4 linked regions of the Saccharomyces cerevisiae S288C genome follow. The protein of the gene in region 3 purifies or fractionates together with the protein of the main gene of each other region. This does not show direct contact. Each region holds a gene or a part of one and is shown on either strand. Other genes may lie near its edges.

What was found.
Region 1: the proteins of BMS1 (region 3) and ECM16 purify together in Saccharomyces cerevisiae (affinity purification with mass spectrometry; 5 studies listed by BioGRID). This does not show direct contact.
Region 2: the proteins of BMS1 (region 3) and PWP2 purify together in Saccharomyces cerevisiae (affinity purification with mass spectrometry; 6 studies listed by BioGRID). This does not show direct contact.
Region 4: the proteins of BMS1 (region 3) and UTP10 purify together in Saccharomyces cerevisiae (affinity purification with mass spectrometry; 6 studies listed by BioGRID). This does not show direct contact.

What each region holds. Positions count from the first base shown.
Region 1 is NC_001145.3:521,971-528,023, forward strand, and holds ECM16 (ATP-dependent RNA helicase ECM16), read left to right. Parts: upstream 1-1,725; coding exon 1,726-5,529; downstream 5,530-6,053. Other genes in the region: SAS2 (histone acetyltransferase), read right to left, coding at 359-1,375; POM152 (Pom152p), read left to right, coding at 5,834-6,053. UniProt on the Saccharomyces cerevisiae protein: Probable ATP-binding RNA helicase. Required for 18S rRNA synthesis. May play a role in restructuring of the pre-rRNA.
Region 2 is NC_001135.5:219,937-225,183, reverse strand, and holds PWP2 (snoRNA-binding rRNA-processing protein PWP2), read left to right. Parts: upstream 1-1,955; coding exon 1,956-4,727; downstream 4,728-5,247. Other genes in the region: TAH1 (Tah1p), read right to left, coding at 450-785; YIH1 (Yih1p), read left to right, coding at 954-1,730; CTR86 (Ctr86p), read left to right, coding at 5,117-5,247. UniProt on the Saccharomyces cerevisiae protein: Required for bud-site selection and cell separation. Also involved in nucleolar processing of pre-18S ribosomal RNA.
Region 3 is NC_001148.4:139,100-144,758, reverse strand, and holds BMS1 (GTPase BMS1), read left to right. Parts: upstream 1-1,587; coding exon 1,588-5,139; downstream 5,140-5,659. Other genes in the region: YPL216W (uncharacterized protein), read right to left, coding at 1-938; Arf family GTPase SAR1, read right to left, coding at 5,350-5,659. UniProt on the Saccharomyces cerevisiae protein: GTPase required for synthesis of 40S ribosomal subunits and for processing the 35S pre-rRNA at sites A0, A1, and A2.
Region 4 is NC_001142.9:211,485-219,042, reverse strand, and holds UTP10 (snoRNA-binding rRNA-processing protein UTP10), read left to right. Parts: upstream 1-1,733; coding exon 1,734-7,043; downstream 7,044-7,558. Other genes in the region: YJL107C (uncharacterized protein), read left to right, coding at 1-190; pheromone-regulated protein PRM10, read left to right, coding at 187-1,338; GZF3 (Gzf3p), read left to right, coding at 7,466-7,558. UniProt on the Saccharomyces cerevisiae protein: Involved in nucleolar processing of pre-18S ribosomal RNA. Required for optimal pre-ribosomal RNA transcription by RNA polymerase I together with a subset of U3 proteins required for transcription (t-UTPs). Involved in ribosome biosynthesis.

The sequences.
Region 1 (6,053 bases), on a different chromosome or scaffold from region 3:
CTAAACCCAGTTCAACATCACCACAAAAGAAGGTTTCCTTTATGCCCTTACCCTTTCTGCCTTCTTATTCTAGAATTTGTTTTGATGCTGTATTTGTTTGGTCCTTGTTCGTCATCGAAAAACCGGCCCAAAAACGGCTAATAAAAACGTGAACCTGTTTTAAGTCTTTTGCTATAAAAGATATTTATACTCTAAAAAAAGGGAAACTTTTGCAGCAAAACAAATTTTATGCATTAGTTCTCTGTTCTTAACTTGGTCAGACAAAATTCGTCCGTTTGTAGTTGTCTGTACAGGAATTCATCGAGCGATATTCTATCCTGAAATACATATGCCATTAAGTTACATCCTGAATAGATTCCTAGTCATCTATCAGCAAATATTCATCTTTTAATTTGAACCAATTCCGTTTTGTTCCATGTAGTTTCAACCAGCTATTCAATGACTGCAAGTAAATTTGGTTATTCTCCCCAATACAGTTCAAGTGCTTCAAGGTCAAAATAACATCATTGACTCTCATTCCAGTCACGATGGAAAGATCCTCCAGGGTCACTTTATCATAATGGGCGAGGTCACCTTCAATAAGGTGCCAACAGAGTATCTGTGACCAATATTTCAAGTACCCGATTAGTCCAAAAGGTGATAACGGTACTTCTGGCCCTGATATTACACCTTCTAATTGGGATAGTTTGTATGAAAACTCGATAAGTAAAAGGCCTAATCCACGTCGTTGATATGGGGGAAATATCAAGATGCACGCTAGATTATTTTGCTGATATGACACTAAATCTTTCGAAAAGAATCCCATCGGCTTTGTTGATCCAGTTTCATAAACTATGTAAAATTCATAATGATCTACTTTGAAATACATGGATTTATTGTCCAGATATAGCTTAGTGAAAAGACAAAGACATTGGCAAAAGAGTTGATACTTGGATCCTTTTACTCTTCTTATTGTATATTCAGGACTCTTGTATTTTATTTTGCCTGGAACACGATATTGAAATGGACAACTTGCAACATGTCCTACAAACCGCGTCTGATCATCCGTGTATTTGAAGCAGTATTCACAAACGAAAAGAGTGTCTAGCCAGTATTGGCTGTTAGAAACAGAGGAAAGCTGACCCTTGGTCTCGGAGCACCCTAGCCTTTTTGTTTCAGGATCGAAATAAACGGCGCTCCCATACCAAGTAGAGAATTTTTTATTCAGTCCAAACTGAATCTGTCTTATGTTCCTTTCGTTCAGTATTCCATATAGCATCTCTTTTTGAGTTTTTTTAATTTTTGCTGAGGGCTTATTCTTGCCTTTTCCACCATTCTTCTTTCCTTTTAGCTTCTGGGTAGTCGCTGTGAGTGATTGACTTAAAGATCTTGCCATTTTTTTTGCGAGTGAAAACAAAAAGCAACTAGAAAATAGGAGCCTCCAATATCAAAAAATCAAACTTCAATTTAACAGATTCTTAGAGCGCTACATACTCTATCCAGTTCGATATGGACAAGACTTAATGATTTCATCATCTCTTCTGATTAACGATTCTGTTATTCTTCATATTTACGCGCCTAACATATCATGATGATTGGGTGTTCCGAAAATTTTCATTGGCGATGAGCTGAGTATTGAAAGCTCATTATAGTATTAGTATATTATTGTTAATAGCAAGTGCTATATGCTATAAAAATGCAATTACAACCCAATACTAATAATAGAGTGTCTTAAGAAATATAAGTATGGGTACTTACAGAAAAAGGTTTAATGAAAAAGCCAGATCCGGCCATATGGCCAAATTAAAAGAACTGAAAAGAATTAGGAATAAGCAGTTCACTAGACAGGATGAAAACGATGAAAGAGTAGAAAACCCAGATTCAGCTCCCGCTGAGAGTTCTACTACGGAGCCAAATGCCAATGCGGAAATTCTTGAACCTCTCACTGAAGAAGAAAAGAAAATGAAGAAAAGAAAACTACAGGAGTTATTTACCCCAAAGGAATCGAAAGTTTCGAGATTGAAGAAGAAAAGACTGGATAAATTTATTGAACATCAATTAAAAAGAGAGGAAAGAAAGACAATTATTGGTAAACTTCAAGATTATAAGATAGATACAAGTTTGTTGACAAGCTCTAAAAGGTTAGGAGAGGGCAGGCAGACTAAAAAGGAAGAATTCAAAGAAGCACTGAGTTTAGAACGTCAAGGAAGAGGAAATGAACAAACAAATGAAATATTATACGAAGAATATGAACCAAAAGTTTGGGATGAGTATGGTGAAGGAGGGAGCTCTGAGGATGATGACGGCGAAGATGATTTCGAGGCTTCATTTGGTAGTATGCCGAAACCAACGGACAATGAGGAGAAGAAATCATCAGGTTTTATTGATCATAGACCAGCAAAATTTGGTGGATCTGGTCTTAGCTTTGGGTTTAGCAATATAAAAGTCATAAACAAAGAAAGCAAAACTCCGAAGAAGAAATATAATTGGAGACAACGAGTAGAAATGGAAGAATTGAAGAAGCATGGGAAAGAAGATGAAATGGATTTCGACACGACATCTGAAGATGATGACGAAGAGGAGGATCAGGAAGAAGAAGACAAAATGCATCCTAGTGAAAACCCACTCGAAGAAGTTGAAAGCGCAGATAGTGAAACTGGCTCAGAAAAATTTGACCAAAATGATGTTGCTAACGAATTCAAGGATTGGGCCAATCAAGAAATAAAAAAATTGGAAGGTAGAGATCAAGAGCTAGTTACTCCCACTTTGAACATCGATTATAAACCGATAATTAGAAAGGAAGATTTAGATGATGGTCTCCAAGAAGCTTATGTTCCAATAAACGAGAATTCCACCCGTAAAGCCTTCTATGTTGAAGTTAGCAGATCAGATGAAATTCAGAAAGCAAGAATTCAACTACCAGTATTTGGTGAAGAACACAAAATTATGGAGGCTATTCACCATAATGATGTAGTGATTATTTGTGGTGAAACGGGGTCAGGTAAGACTACACAAGTCCCACAATTTTTATATGAGGCTGGGTTTGGTGCCGAAGATTCTCCAGATTACCCAGGAATGGTGGGTATCACTCAACCAAGAAGAGTGGCCGCTGTGTCCATGGCTGAACGTGTAGCTAATGAATTGGGGGACCATGGTCATAAAGTAGGATACCAAATTAGGTTTGACTCTACCGCAAAGGAGGACACAAAGGTCAAGTTTATGACAGATGGTGTCTTGCTACGAGAAATGATGCACGATTTCAAGTTGACTAAATATTCCTCCATTATCATAGATGAAGCACATGAAAGAAACATTAACACTGATATTTTGATCGGTATGCTTAGCCGTTGTGTTCGGTTAAGAGCTAAACTACATAAGGAGAACCCGATCGAGCACAAGAAGCTAAAACTCATCATCATGTCAGCTACATTAAGGGTATCAGATTTCAGCGAAAACAAAACATTGTTCCCCATAGCGCCCCCTGTCTTACAGGTTGATGCAAGGCAGTTTCCAGTCTCTATTCACTTTAATCGTAGAACTGCATTCAACTATACAGACGAGGCTTTCAGAAAGACTTGCAAAATTCACCAGAAACTTCCTCCTGGCGCTATATTGGTGTTTTTAACCGGTCAGCAGGAAATTACACACATGGTAAAAAGGCTAAGAAAGGAATTTCCTTTTAAGAAAAACTCCAAGTACAACAAAGATTTAGAAACACCCGTTTCTAAAATGGGTATCAATTCAAAAACAACAGATTTGGAGGCTGAGGATATAGACTTCAGTGTACAAGTTATCGATCAAGATAAGTTCAAGAGCGCGATAAGATACGAAGAAGATGAAGGTAACAGTGGAAACGGTGAAGATGAGGAAGACGAAGAGGAAGAAGGGTTTGAAGAAGTCCTAACTGAAGGGCAAACAGCTAACGATCCTTTATATGTCCTTCCACTGTATTCTCTATTACCAACCAAGGAACAAATGAGAGTCTTTCAAAAACCTCCTCAAGGTTCTAGGCTTTGTATTGTTGCAACAAATGTTGCAGAAACATCGTTAACTATACCTGGAGTTAGATATGTTGTTGATTCCGGGAGGTCTAAAGAGCGTAAATATAATGAATCAAATGGCGTACAGAGTTTTGAAGTGGGCTGGGTAAGTAAAGCTAGTGCCAATCAAAGAAGCGGTAGAGCAGGTCGTACTGGACCAGGCCATTGTTACCGTTTATATTCGTCTGCTGTTTTTGAACATGATTTCGAACAGTTCTCTAAACCTGAAATCTTAAGAATGCCAGTGGAGAGCATCGTGTTACAAATGAAGAGCATGGCCATTCATAATATCATTAATTTTCCATTTCCAACTCCTCCAGATAGAGTTGCCCTTTCCAAGGCAATACAATTACTGCAATATTTAGGTGCTCTTGATAATAAGGAGATGATTACTGAAGATGGTAAAAAAATGAGCCTGTTCCCACTTTCACCCAGATTTTCCAAAATGTTACTTGTTTCTGACGAAAAAGCCTGCCTTCCTTATATTGTAGCAATTGTTAGTGCCCTTTCGGTGGGAGATCCTTTTATCAATGAATTTGAGTTGGGAATAAACGAAATTTCTAGAAAACCAAATCCAGATGAAAATCTAGATGATAAGATTAGAGAGCACGATGAATCAACACCAGGTATGGATCCTGAACTGAAAAAGGAATTGCGCAGTAAATTCTATAAAAGCAGGAGTCAGTTTAGTAAATTAGACAAATTTAGTGACGTATTCCGTTTATTAAGTGTTGTAAGTGCAATGGACTACGTTCCAAAGGAACAAAAAGAAATATTCATGAAGAAAAATTTTTTAAGAGGCAAACTAATGGAAGAAATAGTAAAATTGAGGAAGCAGTTAATGTATATCATCAAGTCCAACACTTCAAAAGAAAATATTGCCGTAGTAATTAGGAATGAAGACTTGAAAAGTGATATTCCAAGCGTCATACAAATAAAACTTTTAAAACAAATGATTTGCGCTGGTTTTGTCGACCATGTTGCCGTAAGAGCAGATGTTTTATTTCCAGATGATGCTAAGATAACCAACAGAACTTCCATAATCAACATTCCTTATATTCCTGTTTTGGCCACGAGAACACCAAATATCGAGGACTGCTTTGTCTATATCCATCCGACTTCAATTTTAAATAATTTGGGGGAAATGCCACCCAAATACATGCTCTATTATTCCTTGCACCTTGGTGGAAATAATAAAACAAGGATGAATACTTTATGTGACATCGCAAGCACCCCCTTAGCGAACATAGCAAGAAAGGGACTTCTTTTGACATACAGTAAACCTCTGACTGGTCAAGGCTTGAAGACCGTTAATTTATCACCTACGGAACGGTATTGTTATGTGGTTCCTAGATTTGGATCCACAGTTGACAACGATCTCAAGATTGGTTGGGATTTAAATCCTATAGCAGTGCATCAGAAGAAGCAAAAAGGCCAGTGGACAGTCATTAAGTTTATCACCAGAAAGGGCTTCCAGACCATCACAGGTGAAGAGAAAGAAAAAAAATAATGCGCTGGTATTATAGAAATAGAGTTTCATTATATAAGAACATATAGGAAGAATACATTATTCCTATCTAGGGCATCAAATAATTGCAACCACTTAATGTTAACTTCCTTCATAATTCAAAACATTATGTTCTATAGCACTATGTATTTTATGTCATTATATACGTAGTCAATAACTTTATACGTTTTTTTTATTGAACAAAAGTAAGAATTGCTTAAGACATAATAAGAGGAAACTCATCGAACCAATTCAAAACGGATTATAGATTTATCATACCAGATACGTTTATCAGGAGGCTTGTATAATGGAGCACAGATATAACGTGTTTAATGATACTCCACGAGGGAACCATTGGATGGGCAGTTCTGTGTCAGGATCACCACGTCCATCTTATAGCAGTCGTCCTAATGTAAACACAACACGACGCTTCCAATATAGTGACGATGAGCCCGCTGAGAAAATCCGACCTTTACGCTCGAGGAGCTTTAAAAGTACTGAAAGTAACATAAGCGATGAAAAATCAA
Region 2 (5,247 bases), on a different chromosome or scaffold from region 3:
TGCCTTAGTTCCGTTAGTTGCCAATACATGAACTGTATGCCCGCAAAGATGTGCGGGAAATTCTTTACAAGGTAGATATGTATTTAGAAAAGAGAAAAACCAAGGGTGTATAGTTTCGTACTATGAAAATCGAAGTTTTAAGCGGCAAAACACTTGTGTATAGATAATTGTAGTATTATTGTGGTATTTGGTATTTGCAGTATTTTCTTGGCGCTACGATGTGCTTTTTATTTTTGTTTGTTTTATTCTCCTATAGAGTAAGGAGACCTTATATTGTTTTTCTCTTGGTAGAAAGTTGACGCGCGAAGAAAAACATAAAAAAAACTGACAAGATACTACTATTATTAACCATATACACGGAAATACCCACAGAGTATACAAACACACATATATATATATATATATATATAATTTTAAAGATAAATTAGAAGTGTTCCCTTTCTCTTTTCTCAGGACCGGTCGTATCCCTCCGGTAGTTCATCAACCTCTACAACAGGGATCTGTACTGAACCTACCGCTCCCTGTGCCAGCTCTAGACGATATTGCAATTTGGATCTGATAGCTACATGCTCTGCCGTTGAGGTGTACCGCAGTCCTTGCTGGCACATTTGAATAGCCTGTGTATATTCACCCAGTTTGATCAGCGCCATGGCTTTGTTGCTGTACCCGACCGGGTTCTGCGGTTGAGCAGTAATTAGTTGGTCATAACAGTGCACAGCCTCGCGATACAGGCCCTGTTTGAACAAAGAATTGCCCTGTTCCTTCTGCTTTTCAAATTGGCTCATGCTCTTTACCGTTGCTCTCTCTTTCGCAGTGCTGAAAAGAAAAAACCGTTCAAGAAAATTGCGTCTTGTGCAGTCATATACGCTGGGATATATATATATATAGATATATATACATATATATAGGAATATGTAACAAGAAAAAAAAAAGAGAGAGGAAAGAAAAGCTCAATGGATGACGATCACGAACAGTTGGTCGAAGAACTGGAGGCCGTCGAGGCCATCTATCCGGATCTTCTCTCCAAGAAGCAGGAAGACGGAAGCATCATCGTTGTGAAAGTGCCGCAGCATGAATACATGACACTGCAGATCTCCTTCCCGACACACTACCCCTCCGAGGAGGCTCCTAATGTCATCGAAGTTGGTGTCTGCACTTCTTTGGCTAAGCGCGATCTCTACGATACCAAGTACCTTCAGCATTTGTTCCAGGAAGTGATGGACTCTGTTTTCCACCGCGGATCTGTCTGTCTATTTGACTTCCTCACAGAACTCGACGGTGTCTTGTACGTTGAACCAGAGGAGGAGACAGAACCGGTCCAGCAGAGTGACATTCCCACAGACCCCTTCGAGGGCTGGACCGCGTCGGACCCCATTACTGATAGAGGCTCGACTTTCATGGCCTTTGCAGCACATGTTACCTCCGAGGAACAAGCGTTTGCCATGCTAGACCTACTGAAGACCGACTCCAAGATGCGTAAGGCAAACCATGTCATGAGTGCATGGCGAATCAAGCAGGATGGCTCTGCGGCAACATATCAAGATTCCGATGATGACGGTGAAACGGCCGCCGGCTCCAGAATGCTGCACCTCATCACCATCATGGATGTGTGGAACGTCATCGTTGTGGTGGCCCGTTGGTTCGGCGGTGCCCACATAGGTCCCGACCGGTTTAAACACATCAATTCTACGGCAAGAGAAGCTGTTGTCAGGGCCGGCTTCGACTCGTAATCATTATGATTATGTCAAGCACCTGTAACCTTGATCACATGCGACGGGAGTTCTTTTTGAAATTTTTTGGAAAAATTTTGCGATGAGCTGAAAGATGAAAAAAAAAAAAGTTTCGAGTATAGTTCTAGGTATGTACAATAACTAGTATAATATCAATAATAGTAATAATAGTATCGTTTTCAACAGGTAGACAGGAGAGCAGACCGCAGATTGAACCGCATCCCAATGAAATCCGATTTCAAGTTCTCTAACCTTTTAGGTACGGTCTACAGGCAAGGTAACATCACCTTTTCCGATGATGGCAAGCAACTACTCTCACCGGTGGGGAATAGGGTCAGCGTGTTTGACTTAATCAACAACAAATCGTTCACGTTTGAATACGAGCATCGCAAAAATATTGCTGCCATTGATCTGAACAAACAAGGCACATTGCTGATTTCTATTGACGAGGACGGTCGCGCCATCCTTGTCAATTTCAAAGCCCGTAACGTGCTTCACCATTTCAACTTCAAAGAAAAATGCTCCGCTGTGAAGTTCAGCCCTGATGGGAGACTCTTTGCATTAGCCTCAGGCAGGTTTTTACAGATTTGGAAGACTCCAGATGTTAATAAAGACAGACAGTTTGCTCCCTTCGTCCGCCATAGGGTGCATGCGGGACACTTTCAAGACATAACGTCTTTGACGTGGTCACAAGATTCCAGATTTATCCTTACGACTTCCAAAGACTTAAGCGCAAAAATATGGTCCGTAGATTCAGAGGAAAAGAACCTTGCGGCGACAACATTTAATGGGCACAGAGACTACGTTATGGGTGCGTTCTTCAGTCATGATCAGGAAAAAATCTACACTGTAAGCAAAGACGGTGCTGTCTTTGTCTGGGAATTTACCAAGAGGCCATCCGATGACGACGACAATGAAAGTGAAGACGACGACAAGCAAGAAGAAGTAGATATTTCGAAATACAGCTGGAGAATCACAAAGAAACATTTTTTTTACGCAAACCAAGCCAAAGTAAAGTGTGTCACCTTCCATCCAGCAACAAGGCTTTTAGCTGTCGGATTTACTAGTGGGGAATTCCGTCTTTACGATTTGCCTGATTTCACTTTGATTCAACAGCTTTCTATGGGGCAAAACCCAGTCAACACCGTTAGCGTCAACCAAACCGGCGAATGGCTGGCGTTTGGTTCCAGCAAACTGGGCCAATTACTAGTTTACGAATGGCAATCGGAATCGTATATCTTGAAGCAGCAGGGCCATTTCGATTCCACAAATAGTCTTGCATACTCTCCGGATGGTTCACGTGTAGTGACAGCATCCGAAGATGGGAAAATCAAAGTTTGGGACATTACATCAGGGTTTTGTTTGGCCACTTTTGAAGAACACACCTCTTCAGTTACTGCTGTACAGTTTGCGAAAAGGGGTCAGGTCATGTTCTCATCATCGTTAGATGGTACGGTGAGAGCGTGGGACTTAATCAGGTATCGTAATTTTAGAACATTCACTGGTACTGAAAGAATCCAATTCAATTGTTTAGCGGTGGATCCATCAGGTGAAGTGGTTTGTGCCGGGTCCCTGGACAATTTTGACATTCATGTTTGGTCCGTGCAAACTGGTCAATTATTAGATGCTTTGTCCGGACATGAAGGCCCTGTTTCGTGTCTTTCATTTAGTCAAGAGAACAGTGTCTTAGCTTCTGCATCATGGGATAAAACAATTAGAATCTGGTCCATATTTGGTAGAAGCCAACAAGTAGAACCTATAGAAGTTTATTCCGATGTTTTAGCCTTATCAATGAGACCAGATGGTAAAGAAGTTGCAGTATCTACCTTAAAGGGTCAAATATCCATTTTCAACATAGAAGATGCCAAGCAGGTGGGCAACATTGACTGTAGAAAGGATATAATATCTGGTAGGTTTAATCAAGATAGGTTCACTGCCAAAAATTCTGAACGATCCAAATTTTTTACTACAATACATTACAGTTTTGATGGTATGGCTATTGTGGCTGGTGGTAATAATAACTCCATTTGTCTATATGATGTTCCAAATGAAGTCTTGTTAAAAAGATTCATTGTGTCCAGAAACATGGCTTTGAATGGTACTCTCGAATTTTTAAACAGTAAGAAAATGACTGAAGCAGGTTCATTAGATTTGATTGACGATGCAGGCGAAAATTCAGATTTGGAGGATCGTATTGATAATTCTTTACCAGGGTCTCAAAGAGGTGGCGACCTGTCCACAAGAAAAATGAGACCAGAGGTTAGAGTTACTTCGGTGCAATTCTCCCCAACGGCGAATGCATTTGCCGCTGCTTCAACGGAAGGTTTATTGATATATTCCACCAATGACACGATATTATTTGATCCCTTTGATCTGGATGTGGACGTCACCCCCCATTCTACTGTAGAGGCGCTACGAGAAAAGCAGTTTTTAAATGCATTAGTAATGGCGTTCAGGTTAAATGAAGAATATTTGATCAATAAAGTCTATGAAGCCATACCTATTAAGGAAATCCCCTTGGTTGCAAGTAATATTCCTGCAATATATTTACCGAGGATTCTGAAGTTCATCGGTGATTTTGCCATTGAATCCCAACACATTGAGTTTAACCTAATTTGGATCAAAGCTCTATTATCTGCGAGCGGTGGTTACATAAATGAACACAAATATCTCTTCTCGACGGCTATGAGGTCGATACAAAGATTTATTGTTAGAGTGGCTAAGGAAGTAGTCAATACCACTACTGATAACAAATACACCTATAGATTTTTGGTATCAACTGATGGGTCCATGGAAGATGGCGCGGCTGATGATGACGAGGTTCTATTAAAAGATGACGCAGATGAAGATAACGAAGAGAACGAAGAGAACGATGTAGTCATGGAATCTGACGACGAGGAAGGATGGATTGGTTTCAATGGGAAGGATAACAAATTACCCTTGTCTAATGAAAATGATTCCAGTGATGAAGAAGAAAATGAGAAAGAGCTTCCTTGAAAAATATTCACTGTCCTCTATTTATGCACATTCACATCATGTATTCCCCAAGTATAGAACTATATAAAGCATTACATTTGTATTTAATATCAACAAAAAAAAATATCATCGCCAATATCGATATACATCATGATGAGAGCGCCTAATATAAACTGAGGCTACCATTACGGGAGTCGTCCTTTGACTGACGAGGCTATTTTCCTTATATATAAGGCATCATCGCTTCAGTAAAAAAAAAAATAGGAAGGGAAAAAATGAAGAATTGATGGGATGAGGAAAAAATTTGACACAAATTTATCGACTACCGTTTCATACTATCATCGGGAGAACAATTACACTAAGCCTTATAAAATTATTGATTCATCAAAAAAGAAGATAACTAAATAACAATGCCTATGAACAATTTTCTAGATGAATTCAATTTATTTGATTCAATCATTACCATGATGAAGAACGACCCATGTTGCGTCGAGGATTATGAGCCAATCGTCGAAAACCTGAACCGTATATTTCAAAGGAC
Region 3 (5,659 bases):
ATCTCGTCGTCAATTGCTTTTATTTTAGATAGTGACGTTTCCGACGTTTCCGACGTTTCCGACGTTTCCTTCCAGTCAGCAGGTTCAACATCGCTCTCTGGTGGTATAGTAAGAGGAGTGTAAAGCTCGGAAGAAGATGAGTTCATTCTATCCGGCAAATAATCAATCATATTAGGAGAGCATTTAGGGTTTACATCATATCTTTCTATATATTCTTGTTTCACCCTCCATGGTGCGTGCTCCTTATTCGATACTTTTATGAGTATTTCATTAAGAAAACACGCAATTATGAATTTAGAAAAGTGTGATTCTGGCCTTTTAATTTCATTCTGGCCTACAATTAGGGCCGCACCTTTAGATTCTCGATTCAGGCATTCTGTGATTAAATACAGTGACAATTTTGGGGCAGAAATTTCTCCCTTTTCACTTTCCATCATCCCGTTAGATTGAAACACATCCTTGACAAGGAACAACGTGACATTGTTTTCAATAGTTGGTGATTCTACCAAGTTAGGCTCTCCTTCTTTATAGGTAATCAATGCATTTTTTTGGATAGTTTTCAAGCACACCGTATCGCCTATAAAGAAACGGTTACTAAAACGCTGAAATGCGCTTTCTACAAGGTGTCCTACCTTCCTTATCGGACTGAAGTTTGCGAAATTTGCTATAGCCTTCCTTAGTTCTTTTGGTAAAAGATATCTGACCTTTTCACGGTGCTGTTCTTCGCTTTTTAACGCCTTGAAATACGAAAGGCCATCTTTTCCACTAATCTCACAGGTGAATATATCCCTTTTGTAAAAATCTAGCTTTTTTAAATCACTGTCATAATCATTTATACGCTCGCTACTTTCTTTAATCACCCATGGAGTTTCAGAGAAGGAATCAGCAGACTGTCCTATTTCCTTAGGTTGTATTTTCCTTCTGTTAAGCAGAACCATTTTTGCTTTGAATTTAAAGTACGGCTAGAAGAAGAGCCAAACTAGGGATTGCGATTTTTACTGAATGAAAATGATTGTCTCTCTTACTAAGTCTGCTAACATTTATCAGGTTCATAATGTTTACTATTGAAGTGGCGCGTTACAAGAAAACAAGTCATCCCATATTGAAATGACAACAAATAGAAAAATACACATAATTCCATATCGCTAAATCACACTATCATATACAAAATGGACCAAAGTAAACAAATGTCGATTCATGCAAGTATTGTTACATATCTTGTCACTTTCTCTTCCAAAAGTTGAGGATAGCTGTAAAGGTGCATTTGCTAAACTCTCAGAAACTGCTGGTCCTAAACAATATCAAAACAAATATCAGATAGGTAAGCTTAGATTATTTTAAGGACATGTGAGCCATAGTGCAGATACTCGTACTACTGTTGTAAATATTTCTGTAATTTCAAAGTTGAGATTATCTAGATGAAGTTTTTTTTTTGTTATCGCCTAAGTTTAATGTCCGTACAAATGAAAAATTTTCAAGGCGATGAGCTGAAGTGAAGCTTCAAAATTAAGGAAAGTATTTGCGCTGTTAAGGTAAAAATATCACATAATAGTAGCCTTTAATCAGCCATCTGAGTTATCTGAAACGATGGAGCAGTCTAATAAACAGCACCGTAAGGCGAAGGAGAAGAATACAGCAAAAAAGAAGCTCCATACGCAGGGTCATAATGCAAAGGCCTTTGCCGTGGCAGCCCCAGGTAAGATGGCGAGAACTATGCAAAGGTCAAGTGATGTGAACGAAAGAAAACTGCATGTTCCTATGGTTGATCGTACCCCTGAAGATGATCCGCCTCCATTTATCGTCGCTGTCGTGGGTCCACCTGGAACAGGAAAGACTACTTTGATTCGGTCCCTCGTCAGGAGAATGACAAAAAGCACTTTGAATGATATTCAAGGTCCTATTACTGTTGTCTCTGGTAAACATAGAAGACTAACTTTTTTGGAGTGCCCTGCGGACGATCTGAATGCGATGATTGATATTGCTAAGATTGCCGACTTGGTTCTTTTACTAATTGACGGTAATTTCGGTTTTGAAATGGAAACAATGGAATTCTTAAATATTGCTCAACATCACGGTATGCCAAGAGTACTTGGTGTAGCTACACATCTTGATCTGTTTAAATCTCAGTCAACTTTGAGAGCTTCTAAGAAAAGATTAAAGCACAGATTCTGGACGGAAGTTTATCAAGGTGCAAAATTATTTTACCTATCTGGTGTGATTAATGGAAGGTATCCTGATAGAGAGATTTTAAACCTTTCACGATTTATATCTGTTATGAAATTCAGACCATTAAAATGGAGGAACGAACATCCCTATATGTTGGCTGACAGATTCACAGATTTAACTCATCCGGAATTAATAGAGACTCAAGGACTGCAAATCGACCGCAAAGTCGCTATCTATGGTTATTTGCACGGTACTCCTTTGCCTTCTGCTCCGGGCACTAGGGTGCATATTGCTGGTGTTGGTGATTTCTCAGTAGCACAAATTGAAAAATTACCAGATCCATGTCCCACACCTTTTTACCAACAGAAACTGGATGATTTTGAACGTGAAAAAATGAAAGAAGAGGCAAAGGCTAACGGAGAAATTACAACTGCCTCTACGACAAGAAGACGTAAAAGGTTAGATGATAAAGATAAATTGATATATGCTCCAATGTCCGATGTCGGAGGTGTGTTGATGGATAAGGATGCTGTTTATATTGATATTGGAAAGAAAAATGAAGAGCCAAGTTTTGTTCCCGGCCAAGAAAGAGGTGAAGGAGAAAAACTCATGACGGGTTTACAAAGTGTTGAACAAAGTATTGCAGAGAAATTTGATGGTGTGGGTTTGCAATTGTTTAGCAACGGCACTGAGCTTCATGAAGTTGCCGATCATGAAGGCATGGATGTTGAAAGTGGAGAAGAAAGTATTGAGGACGATGAAGGAAAGAGCAAGGGAAGAACCAGTTTAAGAAAACCAAGAATTTATGGTAAGCCAGTTCAAGAAGAAGACGCAGATATTGATAATTTACCGAGTGATGAAGAACCTTATACAAATGATGACGACGTGCAGGACTCCGAACCAAGGATGGTTGAAATCGATTTCAATAATACCGGTGAGCAGGGTGCCGAAAAATTAGCTTTGGAAACAGATTCTGAATTTGAAGAGAGTGAAGATGAGTTTTCCTGGGAAAGAACAGCGGCAAACAAGCTGAAGAAAACTGAAAGTAAGAAAAGGACCTGGAATATCGGTAAGCTGATATACATGGACAACATTTCACCTGAAGAATGTATAAGAAGGTGGAGGGGCGAGGACGACGATAGTAAAGACGAAAGTGACATTGAAGAAGATGTTGATGATGACTTCTTCAGGAAAAAAGATGGTACTGTTACAAAAGAGGGCAATAAAGACCATGCAGTTGATTTGGAAAAGTTTGTTCCATATTTCGACACTTTCGAAAAATTGGCTAAAAAATGGAAAAGCGTTGATGCAATCAAAGAGCGATTCCTCGGCGCAGGCATTTTAGGTAATGATAATAAAACGAAAAGTGACTCTAATGAAGGTGGGGAAGAACTATACGGCGATTTTGAAGATCTAGAAGATGGAAACCCTTCTGAACAAGCAGAAGACAATAGTGACAAAGAAAGTGAGGATGAGGATGAAAACGAAGACACTAATGGAGATGATGATAATTCATTCACTAATTTTGATGCGGAGGAAAAAAAGGACTTAACCATGGAGCAAGAAAGAGAAATGAATGCTGCAAAGAAGGAAAAACTACGTGCACAATTCGAGATAGAAGAAGGTGAAAACTTTAAAGAAGATGATGAAAACAATGAATATGATACATGGTATGAACTACAGAAGGCCAAGATATCTAAACAGTTAGAAATTAACAATATAGAATATCAAGAAATGACTCCAGAACAACGTCAAAGAATCGAAGGTTTCAAAGCTGGTTCTTATGTACGTATCGTTTTCGAAAAAGTCCCAATGGAATTTGTCAAGAATTTCAATCCAAAATTTCCAATTGTTATGGGTGGTTTATTGCCGACCGAAATAAAGTTCGGTATTGTCAAAGCCAGGTTGAGAAGACATCGTTGGCATAAGAAGATTTTGAAGACAAATGACCCACTGGTCTTGTCTTTGGGTTGGAGAAGGTTCCAAACTTTACCAATTTATACAACAACTGACTCTAGAACAAGAACCAGAATGCTAAAGTATACACCAGAACACACATATTGTAATGCGGCTTTCTACGGTCCCTTATGTTCTCCAAACACACCTTTTTGTGGTGTTCAAATTGTTGCTAATAGTGATACCGGGAACGGTTTTAGAATTGCAGCAACAGGTATCGTTGAAGAGATAGACGTTAATATTGAAATTGTTAAAAAGTTAAAATTAGTTGGGTTTCCATATAAAATTTTCAAAAATACTGCCTTTATAAAGGACATGTTTTCAAGTGCTATGGAAGTTGCAAGGTTTGAGGGTGCGCAGATCAAAACTGTCTCGGGTATCCGTGGTGAAATCAAAAGGGCACTTTCAAAGCCTGAGGGTCACTATAGGGCAGCCTTTGAGGATAAAATCCTAATGAGTGATATTGTAATTCTAAGATCATGGTATCCTGTCCGCGTCAAGAAATTCTATAATCCTGTTACCTCACTATTGTTGAAGGAAAAAACCGAGTGGAAAGGTTTAAGATTGACAGGCCAAATAAGAGCGGCTATGAACCTGGAAACACCGTCGAATCCGGACAGTGCATATCATAAAATAGAACGTGTAGAAAGACACTTCAATGGTCTAAAGGTCCCAAAAGCTGTTCAAAAGGAATTGCCATTCAAATCTCAGATCCATCAAATGAAACCACAAAAGAAGAAAACATATATGGCTAAAAGAGCCGTGGTGCTAGGTGGTGATGAAAAGAAGGCAAGATCATTCATTCAAAAAGTATTGACGATTTCGAAAGCCAAAGACAGCAAGAGGAAGGAACAGAAGGCTAGTCAACGTAAGGAAAGATTGAAAAAATTAGCTAAGATGGAGGAAGAAAAATCACAAAGGGATAAGGAGAAAAAGAAAGAATACTTCGCCCAGAATGGTAAAAGAACAACTATGGGCGGTGACGATGAATCTCGTCCACGTAAGATGAGGAGGTAAACTTTCATGTATATATATATATATACATATATATATGTATACTTAAGATGTATCATACTTTTATTCAATCTTAGAGTCTAAAATATACTATGATCGCGGAAATGCTGTGCTCAAAAGTTATGAGGTGGCATCCTATGCAATTTTGTTGATTATTACAAAGCTGTTGAATTCATGTGAATGTCATATAAAGGGTATAGATGTATACGTCAATTAAATATATTGAGATAACCATTGGAACGCCTCTAAATAACCATTTCTCATAACAACGGAACACATGAAAACTTCAACTGGTCTTTGACCTTCAATTCTTTGAGAGCCAGTGGTATTCAATAATCCTAAAGCAGAACGTAGCTCCGCTTCAGAAACGGCGTTTGGAGCATCGATCTTGTTACCAAGAATTACAAAAGGAACGTCCTTCAATTCGGCAATGTTGAATAAAGCATCTAATTCGACACGTGCTTCATCAAATCTTTCAGGGTCAGCAGCATCGACTAAAAAGACGATACCATTAACTTCTGGG
Region 4 (7,558 bases), on a different chromosome or scaffold from region 3:
AAGACTAAAAACTGAAGCGAAAATTACGGTTCACATTGCAGACATTTTACAAAGACACCGGTTCATCCTACGCATGTGTAGAGCTCTTATGATGTATGGTGCTCCGACGCATAGGCTTGAAGAATATATGGTTATGACTTCTAGAGTCCTTGAAATAGATGGTCAGTTTTGTATCTTCCAGGTTGTATGATTGTTTCATTTGGTGATGCAACAACAAGAACTTCCGAAGTTCAATTGGTTAGGTGTACTCAAGGTCTAAACCTTTGGAAGCTGCATCAAGTTCATGCCGTTTACAAAAGAGTTGTCCATGATACCTTAGGTGCCGATGAAGGTAATGCTTTACTCGATCAAATTTTGGCTGACACGAATCTATATCCACCTTGGATGTGTGTTCTTTTATATGCATTTTGTTCCGCTATGGTCACTCCGTATGCCTTTGGTGGCGATTGGGTAAACCTGGCAATCTCATTTTTTATGGGGCTTTGTGTGGGGTCATTACAATTTATTCTTTCACAAAAGTCATACATGTATTCAAACGTCTTCGAAATTTCTGCATCTATTGTCGTTAGCTTCTGCGGTAGAGCTTTTGGCTCTATCCCTCGTTCTCACATCTGCTTTGGTGCAGTTACACAAGGCTCATTGGCATTAATCCTGCCAGGTTATATTATTCTGTGTGGTGCACTAGAACTGCAAAGTCGAAGCCTAGTTGCTGGCGCGGTCCGTATGTTCTACGCCATTATTTATTCTTTGTTTTTGGGTTTTGGCATAACATTGGGCTCAGCTTTGTTTGGATGGATGTATCACAATGCCACTAACGAAATTTCATGTCCTCAATTAATTTCTCCGTGGTTCAGGTTCCTCTTCGTTCCAGCGTTTACCATTAGTATCTCGTTATTAAATCAAGCACACATCTCACAACTGCCAGTTATGGTCTTCATTTCTTGCACCGGTTATGTCGTAACATATTGGGCCGGTAAGCATTTTGCGAATTCGACAGAGTTTACTGCCGCCTTAGCTGCATTTGTCATAGGTGTTTTAGGTAATCTATATTCCAGAATTTGGAAAGGTTTAGCGGTATCAGCTATGCTTCCCGCAATCTTCGTTCAAGTGCCATCTGGTATTGCTTCACAAAATTCGTTGTTGTCTGGGTTGCAAAGTGCAAATACAATTGTTAATGCTAATGAAACCATTACGACAAGCACCTCCGATCCATCGTCCTCAATGTCATTTGGTATGACAATGATTCAAGTTTGTGTCGGTATTTCTGTGGGACTATTTGCTTCTTCACTCTTTGTCTACCCCTTTGGTAAAAAGAAAACTGGTCTTTTCAGTTTATAAGCTCTCACAAGGTCCACTTCGTTAGAAACTTGTTAACCAATGGACCAAGTGTTGCCATTGGGTCATTCTTCAGTATCAAAGAAGACTTTGACCCACTAAGAAAAATTTCAAAAGTAAATTATAAATATAGCATTAAGTACAAATAACATATCAGCTTATGAATCCTTTTTTTCAATTTTATGGTTTCATAGCCAATAATCATAACATACATAGATTAATAATATTCAAGTCACATGACTTTTTTTTTTTTCTTTTTTCTTTCTGCGTTAAGCAAAGAAAAAAATTTTCAGTTAGCGATGAGCTAGATATTTTCGAAGGTGTAACAAATACTTTCTTTATTACCTTTCAGAATCAGACTTATCTAACTGGCCACCAAAGTACGAATAACTTTGAAAATGTCTTCGTTGAGTGACCAATTAGCTCAAGTTGCTTCCAACAATGCTACTGTTGCGTTGGATAGAAAGAGAAGACAAAAACTTCATTCTGCTTCTTTGATTTATAACTCAAAGACGGCTGCAACACAAGATTACGATTTCATTTTTGAAAACGCTAGTAAGGCTCTTGAAGAATTGAGCCAAATTGAGCCAAAATTTGCCATTTTCTCAAGAACACTCTTTTCAGAGTCTTCCATTTCTCTTGATAGAAATGTCCAAACAAAAGAAGAAATTAAAGATTTGGATAATGCTATCAATGCTTACTTGCTATTGGCTTCTTCTAAATGGTATTTAGCACCTACACTACATGCAACAGAATGGTTGGTTCGTCGTTTTCAAATACATGTTAAAAACACAGAGATGCTGCTTTTGTCCACTCTCAACTACTACCAAACACCTGTCTTTAAGAGAATTCTCAGCATTATTAAGTTGCCCCCTTTGTTTAATTGTTTGTCGAATTTTGTTAGAAGTGAAAAGCCCCCAACGGCGCTAACCATGATAAAGCTCTTTAATGACATGGATTTTCTGAAACTTTATACCAGTTATTTGGATCAATGTATTAAGCATAATGCAACGTATACTAACCAGCTTTTATTTACAACATGCTGCTTTATTAACGTTGTTGCTTTCAATTCAAACAACGATGAAAAACTGAATCAGCTTGTTCCAATCTTACTTGAAATATCTGCTAAACTTTTAGCCTCTAAATCAAAGGATTGTCAAATAGCTGCACATACCATATTAGTTGTATTTGCTACAGCTTTGCCTTTAAAGAAAACAATTATCTTAGCTGCCATGGAAACCATTCTTTCAAACTTAGATGCTAAAGAGGCAAAACATTCAGCACTCCTCACGATTTGTAAGCTGTTCCAAACATTAAAAGGACAAGGTAACGTAGATCAGCTACCTTCCAAAATTTTCAAGTTATTTGATAGCAAGTTCGACACTGTGTCTATACTAACCTTCTTAGATAAGGAAGACAAACCAGTTTGTGATAAATTCATTACTTCCTATACAAGATCCATAGCAAGGTATGATCGGTCCAAATTGAACATTATTCTTAGCCTACTAAAAAAAATAAGACTAGAAAGATACGAAGTTAGGTTGATAATCACTGATTTGATTTACCTTTCCGAAATTTTAGAGGACAAGTCACAATTAGTAGAACTATTCGAATATTTTATCTCCATAAATGAAGATTTGGTGTTAAAATGTTTGAAATCATTGGGACTGACAGGCGAACTCTTCGAAATCAGGCTTACTACATCTTTGTTCACTAATGCCGATGTTAACACCGACATTGTAAAGCAGTTAAGCGACCCCGTGGAAACTACTAAAAAGGATACCGCTTCATTTCAAACATTCTTGGATAAGCATTCAGAATTGATAAACACAACGAATGTGTCCATGCTAACAGAAACTGGAGAAAGATACAAAAAGGTTTTATCTTTATTCACTGAAGCTATTGGTAAAGGCTATAAAGCAAGTTCCTTCTTGACTTCATTTTTCACTACTTTAGAATCAAGAATAACGTTTTTGTTAAGAGTAACTATATCTCCAGCCGCTCCAACCGCGCTAAAGCTAATATCTTTAAACAATATTGCAAAATATATTAATAGTATTGAAAAGGAAGTTAATATTTTTACTTTAGTTCCATGCTTGATTTGCGCTTTGCGAGATGCTTCTATAAAAGTTAGGACTGGCGTGAAGAAGATTCTTTCCTTGATTGCTAAAAGACCATCCACTAAGCACTACTTTTTGTCTGATAAACTTTACGGAGAGAACGTTACCATTCCTATGTTAAATCCCAAAGATAGTGAGGCATGGTTATCAGGATTTTTGAATGAGTACGTTACTGAGAATTATGACATATCCAGAATTTTAACGCCAAAGAGAAATGAAAAAGTCTTTTTGATGTTTTGGGCTAATCAAGCCCTACTAATACCTTCTCCGTATGCCAAGACAGTGTTGTTGGATAACCTGAACAAGAGTCCGACTTATGCATCTTCTTATTCCTCCCTATTTGAGGAATTTATTTCCCACTACTTAGAAAACAGATCTAGTTGGGAAAAGAGTTGTATTGCTAATAAAACAAACTTTGAGCATTTTGAGCGCTCTTTAGTTAATTTGGTATCACCAAAAGAAAAGCAGTCATTCATGATCGATTTTGTTCTCAGTGCTCTTAACTCAGATTATGAGCAGTTAGCTAACATAGCTGCCGAGAGGCTTATCAGCATATTCGCTTCATTAAATAATGCTCAAAAACTAAAAATCGTCCAAAATATCGTGGATTCTTCGAGTAACGTAGAATCATCGTACGATACAGTCGGTGTACTACAATCATTGCCGTTAGATTCCGATATTTTTGTATCCATACTAAATCAAAACAGTATCAGTAACGAAATGGATCAGACAGACTTTTCTAAAAGAAGAAGAAGACGTTCATCAACAAGTAAAAACGCATTTTTGAAAGAGGAGGTTTCGCAACTGGCGGAATTGCACCTGAGAAAGTTGACGATTATTTTGGAAGCACTTGATAAAGTCAGAAATGTTGGATCCGAAAAGCTTTTGTTCACTTTACTTTCCTTATTATCAGATCTGGAAACTTTGGATCAAGACGGTGGATTACCGGTTTTATATGCGCAAGAAACTTTGATTTCTTGTACGCTGAACACTATCACATACTTGAAGGAACATGGCTGTACAGAACTAACCAACGTAAGGGCAGATATATTGGTATCCGCTATTAGAAATTCTGCATCTCCGCAAGTCCAAAACAAACTATTACTTGTAATTGGATCTCTTGCTACTTTAAGTTCGGAAGTTATTTTGCATTCTGTAATGCCTATCTTTACTTTTATGGGAGCCCATAGTATTCGTCAAGATGATGAATTCACAACTAAAGTTGTTGAGCGTACGATACTAACTGTTGTCCCTGCCTTGATCAAGAATAGCAAAGGAAATGAAAAAGAGGAAATGGAGTTCCTTTTGTTGAGCTTCACAACCGCTTTGCAACATGTTCCAAGACATAGGAGGGTTAAATTATTTTCTACGTTAATCAAAACACTTGATCCAGTAAAGGCACTGGGCTCGTTCCTTTTCTTGATTGCACAACAGTATTCTTCAGCTTTAGTCAACTTTAAAATTGGCGAGGCAAGAATATTAATTGAGTTTATTAAGGCCCTACTCGTTGATCTACATGTCAATGAGGAATTATCAGGTTTGAATGACTTACTCGATATCATCAAATTGTTGACATCATCAAAGAGCTCCTCGGAAAAGAAGAAATCACTAGAATCCCGTGTCTTGTTTTCAAATGGTGTCTTGAATTTTTCGGAAAGTGAATTTTTGACATTTATGAACAATACCTTTGAGTTTATCAATAAAATAACCGAGGAAACAGATCAAGATTATTACGATGTGAGGAGAAATTTAAGACTAAAGGTATATTCTGTTTTGTTAGATGAAACAAGCGATAAAAAGTTAATTAGAAACATCAGGGAAGAATTTGGAACCCTTTTAGAAGGTGTTCTTTTTTTCATTAATTCTGTAGAATTAACCTTTTCATGTATAACTTCCCAAGAAAATGAGGAAGCTTCCGACTCTGAAACATCATTATCAGATCACACGACTGAAATAAAGGAGATTCTATTCAAGGTGCTTGGCAATGTGTTACAAATTCTACCAGTTGACGAGTTTGTTAATGCGGTATTACCCTTACTCAGTACATCCACTAATGAAGATATTAGATACCACCTAACGTTGGTAATAGGGTCCAAATTCGAGTTAGAAGGCTCTGAAGCTATTCCTATAGTTAACAATGTGATGAAGGTTTTGCTCGACAGAATGCCTTTGGAATCTAAATCTGTTGTTATTTCTCAAGTAATATTGAACACGATGACGGCTTTAGTGAGCAAATATGGTAAGAAGCTTGAGGGGTCCATATTAACTCAAGCCCTCACCCTTGCTACTGAAAAAGTTAGTTCTGATATGACAGAGGTCAAGATATCTTCGTTGGCATTGATAACTAACTGTGTTCAAGTTTTAGGAGTCAAGTCAATTGCGTTCTATCCAAAAATAGTCCCACCTTCTATTAAATTATTTGATGCTTCATTGGCAGATAGTAGTAACCCATTAAAAGAGCAGTTGCAAGTTGCTATACTGTTGCTGTTCGCCGGTCTAATCAAAAGGATACCAAGTTTCTTGATGTCAAATATTTTGGATGTTTTGCATGTTATTTATTTTTCCCGTGAAGTTGACAGCAGCATTAGGCTGTCAGTAATTTCATTGATAATTGAGAATATAGATTTGAAGGAAGTTTTGAAAGTTTTATTCAGAATTTGGTCCACTGAAATAGCAACGTCCAATGATACAGTTGCTGTTAGTCTATTTTTGAGTACATTAGAATCCACTGTTGAAAATATTGATAAAAAATCCGCAACCTCACAATCGCCAATATTTTTTAAGTTACTATTATCTTTATTCGAATTTAGATCCATTTCCAGTTTCGATAATAATACAATTAGTAGGATAGAGGCATCCGTTCACGAAATTTCCAACTCTTACGTCCTGAAGATGAATGACAAAGTATTTAGACCGCTATTTGTTATATTAGTAAGATGGGCGTTTGACGGTGAAGGCGTTACAAATGCAGGTATCACTGAAACAGAAAGACTGTTGGCATTTTTCAAATTTTTCAACAAGCTTCAAGAAAATTTGAGAGGTATAATTACTTCCTATTTCACGTATTTGTTAGAACCTGTTGATATGTTGTTAAAAAGATTCATTAGCAAGGACATGGAAAACGTTAATTTAAGACGTTTGGTAATCAACTCTCTAACCTCTTCGCTAAAGTTTGATAGAGACGAATACTGGAAATCAACTTCCAGATTCGAGTTAATTTCTGTATCCTTGGTCAATCAACTATCTAATATAGAAAACTCTATTGGGAAGTACCTGGTCAAGGCAATTGGCGCTCTGGCTTCTAACAATAGTGGCGTTGATGAGCATAACCAAATTTTGAATAAACTAATCGTTGAACACATGAAAGCTTCCTGTTCCTCCAATGAAAAATTATGGGCTATTAGAGCCATGAAGTTGATATACTCAAAGATAGGTGAAAGTTGGTTAGTTCTATTGCCACAGCTCGTTCCCGTCATCGCTGAGTTATTGGAAGATGATGATGAAGAGATCGAACGTGAAGTCAGGACCGGTTTGGTCAAGGTTGTTGAAAACGTTTTAGGGGAACCTTTTGATAGGTATTTAGATTAGAAAAAAAAGGTGAAGTATTATGTAAATTTTTGTAAAGTAAAACACTATGCTGTTGAACGAAATCTTTCATTGAAAATATTGTTATTCATTCGTGATAGCTGCCCCTTTCTGAGTTTGAACTTAATATTTCAATTACGCTACTTCAAGTTTCAATGAGATATTATTCTGTCATCTTTCTCGTCGTTCCTAGTGATTAACGTTACTAAAATTACTGATCCTAAATAGCGGGCGAACAGAGTGAAAATTTTCTTATCTTCGCTTATCTGCGCTTATCAATCCTAATCAGTGAAAAATAAGATATAGGCTTGATAATAAGGTAGTTTGAAAGAGAACATATTGCAAGCGGTTGAAGCTATAATACTAGATATACGAATATCATTTCGGGTATTTGTACTGTGCTCTACAATTCTACTGGTAATATTATGGCATCGCAGGCTACAACTCTTCGAGGCTATAACATTAGAAAACGAGATAATGTATTTGAACCAAAATCAAGTGAAAACCTCAACAGCTTA